Linked DNA regions of Xenopus tropicalis. The protein of the gene in region 1 interacts with the protein of each later gene in a pairwise test. Links are inferred from orthologs where the notes say so. Each region holds a gene or a part of one and is shown on either strand. Other genes may lie near its edges.

Region 1 (4,057 bases):
CACTTAATTTGTAATGTTACAGGGGCTGACTTTACAACGAACATGTGGGCTCAGGAATGCTCCAACAACAGATGCTCTTTATAGTGTATACACTTTACTTCAGCGAAGCTACAAAACGAGCAGGAAGAGACAAATATGGCAGCGCCAGGACACGCTCCCAAGTTCCCATCAGCGATTCTCCTCACATTCCAGCGCCGGCGCCCCGCCCATCCGCCTCACTCTGGTGCAGCAGCTTTGCGTGCCCACTGCGTGATTCAGAGGGCTCATTCGCTTTCAGCCAATAGCGCGGCGTGTAGGGATTGGGCGCTGCCTGGGCCAACCAATCAACGGCAGCTGTACACGCGTTGGCTTCGTGATATGAAAGCGTCTCTGGGCGGATTCACCATTTGGTGGCAGGGCGGGCAGAGTGGGGGGGGATAATGTGGGAGTGGGACGTGGGTTTGTTTCCATAACAGTGGGGAGGGGCAATGCCAGGAACACGCGTGACACACCAAATGAATTAATTAAAACTAGCGCGCCCTTTTCGTTTATGTCTATAATGCTTAATTAGCCAATATAAATAAAGTGAAAAAGTGGTGTCAGGAGTTTTATTTCTTGGTTACTTCGGGGGAACGCCATAATATTTGCCCCAAGTGCTTATTATCCGTATTGGTGGTATTTACCCCTTGCCTCTTTCATAGACTGTGGCAAAGCAGGGGGTGTTGATAAAATGTTATATTTAACGTATAATAAAAATCTATCAGGCCTGTTCGTCTGTCTATCGCCAGTCACTCAAACATGGATTATTATACTAATGACCGAAATGGTTTTCATTTGTATCGGGCGACTGACACTACTTTCTACGTCGGTGACACTGACACATTGTCCTCTTTGAAGTACAATGTCTGGGTCTTGCCCTGGCCTGGCGTACGCAGAAATTCGTACAAGAGCACTACAGTGTATCAAACAATGAACTAAAATATTGCCTTCGTTTACTCTAATAAACACCACGCACACATTTATTCCGCGATGAATCTTATTCTGTTAGAACCCTATTGATCCATTTATAATTGCATTACACAGTATAGTTCCTGGAGCGGAGGCACACGTTGCCGTCAGATCACATGTCAGAGCGACGCTACAAAAGAAGAGACTACAGAGCGGACGGATACACGGGGCGGAACCACGAGTCTATATAAAGGGGCGGTAAATCGCCCGCCACGTCAGTCTGCAGCTTGGAATGAAAGAGGGAACGTAGTTTGCTGTCGCTGGGTCTTTTTTGTTAACTAAATACTAAGGTTTGAGGACGCGACGCTTCTGCTGTAGCAGGTTCCAACAGTGATTTCTTCAGTCCGGCGCCGCAATAACCAGCGGACAGCCATGGCGCTATAGCGGCAGCACAGGCCTGCGGCTCCCCTCTCCCCCGGCCATAGCGAGGCAGCAGCTCCCAGCGGCGCCCGCAGCACCAGGCAACGGCACAGCCATGGCGTAAGTATCCCTACTGGGTCATGTACTACATGGCGAGGTGTTAAGTGTGTGTGTGTGGGGGGTGGGAAATTGCTTGAAATGCAGGAGTATTAATATAAAACGGGGCAGGAAGGAATGTCTGGGGTAATGTAGCGGTAGATCGAACGTAAATGTTCTTATGTGTCTTGCCATGTGGCTCTTGTCCTTGGCAGACTCGACTCTGGCGCCCCCTAGGGTACGATGTATGTACAGCAGGTAGACAATAGCTATCAGCCATATTGTGCGGCTGCTGGAGTGACAATTATCAGTATATACATCTCATTCATTAGGGCCACAAAGGGACCTTTGGGTTTTCTTACAAATGCAGATTTCCTGAACTTGCATCTTGTGTTTACGGTTTAAATTATTGAAGCTATTAACTTGCTGCTTTTGTAACCTGGGTGGTGTCCATAGGGTTAAACGAATTCCACTAGGAATTGTAGCTATTGCCTTAATCAGTTTGTTGAATGGGGGACTCTCTAAAATGTTTCAATGTCACAGTGGGTTTGATCTCCTTTAGTGGTATTTCTAGCTCCTGTGTGGCTTGGGAATTCTTAATGGGTGTGCTTTGAAATGAGACTCTCCCCAGGCAGATTTAGACTTGCTCTCTAGAGACAGCTGTTTCCCTTGTATGCATAGGGGAATCTCTCATAACAGCGCTCCAGATGGCATTGAAAATTAGTAATGTATTTTCAGTTAGTGTTGTGCTTAACAATAAAATGTAGCATTCAACAATGATCTTATGTGAGGAAGGTGACTTCATTTGTTTAGGACATGGTTTGGATGGTTTAGCAATTTGTATTTAAAGGGGTTTGATGCTAAAATGGCATCCATACCAGGGTGGAGAACAAACCAGATGGTTAACTTGTGAAATGGCTGCTGATCAGCTTTGTGAATCACCGGGTGTGGGTGGGGCCGGAGGGAAGGTGCCCATATTTGGTCATGAGGGAAGAGAAGACTAGAATATAATACTGCTCTTGTGAAGAAGCATTGTGAAGAACAAGCATGTTTTTCTTAATAATGTTCTTAATATTTGCTTTTATTATGCAGGCTTCTCCAGGCATCCCACAGCAGCATTGCTGTATACGAGGAAGAAAGCTCAAAATTGTCATCACCAGTCGAATTCGTGATCCTACAGAAAGATGAGTTTGTTAAGCGACGAGATGCTGTTGGGGGACCTTCTGTCCCCCTTCAACCAGTCGTTTTTGGCGGCTGAAAAGAGTTTGGGTCTCTTGGAGGATGAATTTGAGGTGCCCGGGTACCTCCTATCGCAAGGGTTCTCCAGCGACAAGGCTAAGGATGGCGTCTCTGACCTGCTGCCTTATGTTGAATCTTTAGGCAGTTTTCATGGTAAGTAAACTGGCTTTCAAAGGGTTCAGTCTCTCTTCTGTATAATAGAATATTCATGTATTTTGCTTGAAGCACCTCTTTGCAGCCACATTACTGGAATAGATTTGTTAAAATATTTGTTCAATGGCTAATGGGCATTTTAAGTGGAAAGATTGTAAAACTTAGCTTATGAGATGATAGAAATTTGTTGCTTTGCTTTCTGAGCCTTCTTTGTTCTTTATTAGGGGACGCCTTCTCCGGCATGGATTGGATGGTGGAAAAGATGGATCTGAAGGAATTTGATTTAGACTCCCTGTTTGGGTTGGAAGATCTGGAATCCACTATCTCACCAGATGAGCTAACATCCACGTTGGAAGACTCATGTGATTTCCTAGAGGACCCACCTCATGCAGCAGTGATTGGCCACTTTGTGCCATCACCTGAACCTGTCTCTCTTCCAGAGTCCCCACTGGATGCTGATCAGGTTGCCCCATTTAGCCCAGATTTGACAGCCTCTCTCTCCTCTAGCCCAGACCATTCCTTCATCTTGGATGTAGGTAGTGAGGTAGATGTTGCAGAGGATGAGAAAAAGTCCTCTGCAACATATACTCTAGAGATACTTAAATGTGAGAAGGAAGATTCCTCTGATAATGATAGTGGAATCAGCATGAGCCCCTCCTACTTGGAATCCCCTCAGCAGAGTCCATCAACTGTAGAATGCTATAGTAGTCCTCAGTCCTCCCTAGAGTCCCCAGTCTCTGAGAGACCCAAACCTTATGATCTTCCCTGTAAGGATAGAGATGTGATGGCGAAGGTGAAAGTAGCTGGAGGGCAGCCCAGAGTAGACAAGAAGAAAAAGAAAATGGAGCAGAACAAAACAGCAGCCACTCGCTACAGACAGAAGAAAAGAGCAGAGCAAGAGTTAATATCTGGAGAGTGCAGAGAACTAGAGGGAAAAAATGATACCCTTAGAGAAAAAGTAGATTCGTTAACAAAAGAGATCCAGTATTTGAAAGATCTGATAGCTGAAGTCCGACAGGCCAAAAGCAAACGAGCAAAAAGTTCTTGAATAGGGAACAAAGCTGGAGCGTGTGTATGTTGTATATAGGTCACTTAAGAATGTTGTGGAATGTCTACTTAATAAATTATTTTGTAGTTACTTTTTTGTCGGATTTCTTTATTTGTGCAGTATAAATTAGCTTGGGTTTTCAAAATGAACTAAGTGGGGTTCTTTTCTATTTTC
Region 2 (4,288 bases), on another chromosome or scaffold:
AGCCTCTCTAACATTTCCTAGAATCCACAGATTGCCAGTCTGGCAACTGCTAAGCAGTCTAAGGGCCCTTCTATGCACCAGCTATGCTCAGTTTACAGCCAACTAACATGTCTGTATGTTTTGGAATATGGGAATAAAATACACACAAACAACACCCAGAATCAAATGTATGACCCCAGCACTGCAAAGCAGCAGCACTAGCCACCATGTCTCCTTGCTCTATAGGCTCAAACAAGGGGATTCTAGAACAGTAGTTCTCAAATGTGGCAGTCCCCTATGGATCCACCACTTCTTTTAATGCAAGCCCTAGACCAATTAAACATGGGGCAGACAAAGCCGCAGCTCCAGTGTTCTAACAGACAAATCCCCTGCTTCTTGCTATGGGATTCTCTTTGATAGTAATGAGCTGGGGCTTTGATTGGATCTCTCTATTGATTTGACTTATTTGAAATGAGCAACATCAAGTACTTAGGATATTACAGAAGCTAATCACACATAAAGTAGGGCACTGCTAGACATCGCTTACCTTCTGAGTTATTCTGCTGGGAACCGAGACAGTATAAAGATAGACATTCTCTGCGCAGATTCTCTTCAAAAGGGATTGAGCTATCGTAAGTCTCACCTCCCTTTTTGGCTGTAATAAAAGTCAGTAATCTATGAGAATTGCAGATACCTGTAATTCTATTTTTAAAATATCAGTGGTGATGTTTCATATGGGTATTATCTAAAAGAGATTTACACAGTAAGACACATTTACTAACACTGGGCCTATTTACCTATGCAGTCACCCATTGCAATTAATCACAGGTATATATTCCTTATTCTGTCTGCAGTAATTAGTTACTTTTTTTGTTATTTAAGGCCCAAGTGGTGAATGATTGCTATGAGTTGATGCACTGGTACAGCACTGTCCATTAATAGTACATTAGCCTCAGTGAGTGCCATTCAGTTCCATGATTGGAACTCTTGATATTTGCATTTTCTGACGCTACTTACTTCGTCTCCGGTGATTGTTAACAGCCATTGGTTAATTCTCGGTATCAGTGTAGTTCAAAGAAAGTGAGTCACCTGCAATTTTGCCTGGATCAGATTAAAAACTACAAGGAATAAAAAGCACATACTAAGCAGTTTCAGATGCCAAGAGACCATGCTTACTCTGTAGCAGTAACGTAGATGCAATTCAACATTGTGCAATTAAATGCTGATTTTGGTGCAAGTCAGTGTAACATCACTAAGGGCACATAAAAAAGGTAGGAATGCTTGGAATTAAAATGATACAATTTCACCAAAATGGCAATATATATGGCAGTATATAACTAGGTTCAACAAGAGCCATAAGTGGGGTTTTTCTTAGAATTGTGTTTTTATTCTTTTAAACCCTCATGCCCAAAACCAATTCCGATCAGGCTCTTTACAATTCTGGCCTTCTGTCATTGTGGTTACACCCCTGGTTGAATTTATGGGGGCCCAAAGCAACACTGCATAAAATTGCTGCTCTGCAGGGCACCAATATGAATGTTGCCCCATATATATACCTCTAAAGTAACCCCTCTTAAAAGGCAGCTGTCACTGCCACACATAACTACATAAAGTTAGCAGGAGTTTAAGAGATCAAATATAATTGATGTACAATTATTTTTGTCATGCCACTTCTTCATATGAAGGAAAGATCTGGATTGCCTTCATTTCTGAAACAGCACCAAATCATCCTAAGAGGCAGTAATAATAATATTACTACAACACTGTTATTTCTCAGCATCTGATCTGATGCCACACAGGAACTCACCCGATGAGCCAGCGATGTTGTAGAGGAATCCAGCATATAACTAGTTTTCCATGTAACATCAGAGCGGAAGCCTAGGAAGTGGGAAATTAAGCACAGCGATCAGATGAGATAATGCAATTAAAATGGCTTCTTTCCCTTCCCCCCACATTTCGTTCTGTGTCTCCTTCAGCAATTCAGCACCGGAGGGGAAATTATGTTCCGTGTTACTTCTCCGTTTGGCTCTGGGAACCAGCAGCTGACAGGCAGCTCTACAGCAGGCAGATCTTGCCAGGGTGCTTTGCCCTCTATGTAAGGAAGCTGCAGGATAAGCCTGGGTACCACAATGCTGCTCTGCTCCAGCAGGAAAATGATGGCAAGGGCAACAGCAAAAATCTCACCCACCAGAACCTGGAAATTCTTATTATATATCCGTACAACCTCTCAGGAGAACATGGACATCAAGCTACTGTTTGTATCTAACAGCCTTAACAGGCTCACACAATGTGATTCTGCAGCCAGCCAGGCTGAAAGGGAGCCCCTTCAAAAAAACTCTTAGTTTAAATAAAGACCATTTAGGTTGTGGGCCCCCCTTTCCTTTGGACAAAAGAATCCTCTAGCCTTTGCTACAGAACAAGGAGTGGGAACAGGGAGGGAGCAATGGGTTATTGGGGGGAGGGGGGGGGTAATATAGAGGTTGAGCTGCAGCCAGGTATGGTTTCAAACCTGATTCTAGAACTTATGATTGTCTCATGGTCTTGTACGATCTGCATGAAAAACAACACTGAATCACCAGCAACTGCCACAGTCCATGTGTCTGTCCCAGAATAAAAAAGAAGAATCATTTGCCCTGTAAGAGTGAAGTCATTGGATCAGAAAGGTACAGTCACCCTGTAGCAAGCCAAGCCACTTAAATAAAAGGCCCAAACACACGCTGACAACATTCTGCAACAATGTCCATGTCTGGTCAGCTTCACACAGTAGCTACTCTACCAAACCCCCTACGGTGCTCTGTAATGCCAGAAGTGAGAGATGGTCGGTTTGTGCCTTTACTTCCTGTGTGCCAAATAACATCACACTCAGGCACAAATATAGACCTAGGGGCAGATTTATCAAAATGTGAGATTAGAGCTTACCACAGAAAAACCCACTTTCTATTAATTTCTATGGGAATTTTTGGAAACATATTTATCATTTAGTGAAAGTTAGAGTTCAACCATTGATACACTTCTAAAAATCCCATAGAAATAAATAAAATAAGGGTGAGTTTTTATGTATTAAGCTCTAAACTCACATTTGCCCCCAAGTGTAGAACCTCATACTTGGTGCAAAAGACTAGCAAGTATGTAAAAAAACCCTCAACATATTTTTAGCAATTATAAAATTCATGGGGTTACCTGTAGCCAACCTTAAGACAGCAGAGTCAACTATTAAATTTACATGTTTAACCACTGAAATAAGACTCAGCTAAAATCTTCAGACTCCTGAATACAGATATATTCGCCCCATGCTTGTGTGGGTTTCCTTTCCTTTAAATTTTCCATATCTTTTAATGCTTTAGAATGTCTAAGACAAATGATAAACAGCTTTAAATCTTGCTTGTTTATTCTTCTGTTCTGTTTAATGGAGAACTTCAATAAATATTCAAAATTGGAAAAACGGATGCTTGTTGTCAATATTATGGGCAGTATCAGAAGATAACTAATAAGAAGGCAGTATTTTTTTCCATGAAAGCTGGCAACAAAACCAGGGTTATATATATATATGTGCATATACACAAATAAATAATTACAATTAGAATTAAAAGTAGTGCTGGTCCTCTTTTGGAATTATACATATACATTTTAGGAGGTGCACTACCATAACTGCCAAAACGCAGCTTGTGAGTTTGCTTCCCTGAGGATGGTCACTGGTGTAAGTGTAAGGGTTCCTGACCACAGACTGTAAATTTAGTAATCCATGGGAGACCTCCTGCCAGGACAAAGACGTATACAGGGACAAGAACGACACAACTCCAATGGAAGTTCAAACTTGTCCAGTTTATTCTTACGTGCTCATAGTTCTTATACCCCTTGTGTACGTGCAAATACAAAGAAATCATTGTAACATTAGCTTTGAAACAAAGATGGCCTATTTCATTATCTTCAGAGATGGCCTTCAAGGATGGCTAATACGGGACAAGGAGGACACAAGGAGTAGAAAAGGTGTCAGTGCATAGATAACATTAAGTTGTTTTTCAAGGCTCATATTTTGTAAGGTGCAAGCTGTGCAAGAGTACTATTTGGGAAAAACAACTATTATGGGATGTTCAAGCCTTGCTGGTTGCTGTTACAAAATGGAGATACATTTCTAAAATGGAGTATGATATGCTAAGCATCAAAGTGTATCAAAGTTAGAAAAATACATGCATATATAAATATAAGATTATATCGATATAAGAATATAGGATATTATATCAAACCTCACAGTAAGACTAACATCTGGACCAATATTTTTGCATTAGTCCTGTAGTGTGTATTACTGTTT

The links.
Region 2: the proteins of atf4 (region 1) and ccdc106 interact in binary tests that used the Homo sapiens proteins (3 or more experiments, as listed by UniProt). The link is inferred for Xenopus tropicalis from reciprocal best matches to the Homo sapiens genes ATF4 and CCDC106.

The regions. Positions count from the first base shown.
Region 1 is NC_030680.2:121,049,519-121,053,575, forward strand, and holds atf4 (cyclic AMP-dependent transcription factor ATF-4), read left to right. Parts: upstream 1-1,213; 5' UTR 1,214-1,467; intron 1,468-2,535; 5' UTR 2,536-2,648; coding exon 2,649-2,835; intron 2,836-3,059; coding exon 3,060-3,883; 3' UTR 3,884-3,973; downstream 3,974-4,057. UniProt on the Homo sapiens protein: Transcription factor that binds the cAMP response element (CRE) (consensus: 5'-GTGACGT[AC][AG]-3') and displays two biological functions, as regulator of metabolic and redox processes under normal cellular conditions, and as master transcription factor during integrated stress response (ISR).
Region 2 is NC_030683.2:104,010,886-104,015,173, reverse strand, and holds the start of ccdc106 (coiled-coil domain-containing protein 106), read right to left. Parts: upstream 2,856-4,288; 5' UTR 1,787-2,855; intron 1,194-1,786; exon of another isoform or gene 1,069-1,193; 5' UTR 1,025-1,068; coding exon 997-1,024; intron 635-996; coding exon 527-634; intron 1-526. UniProt on the Homo sapiens protein: Promotes the degradation of p53/TP53 protein and inhibits its transactivity.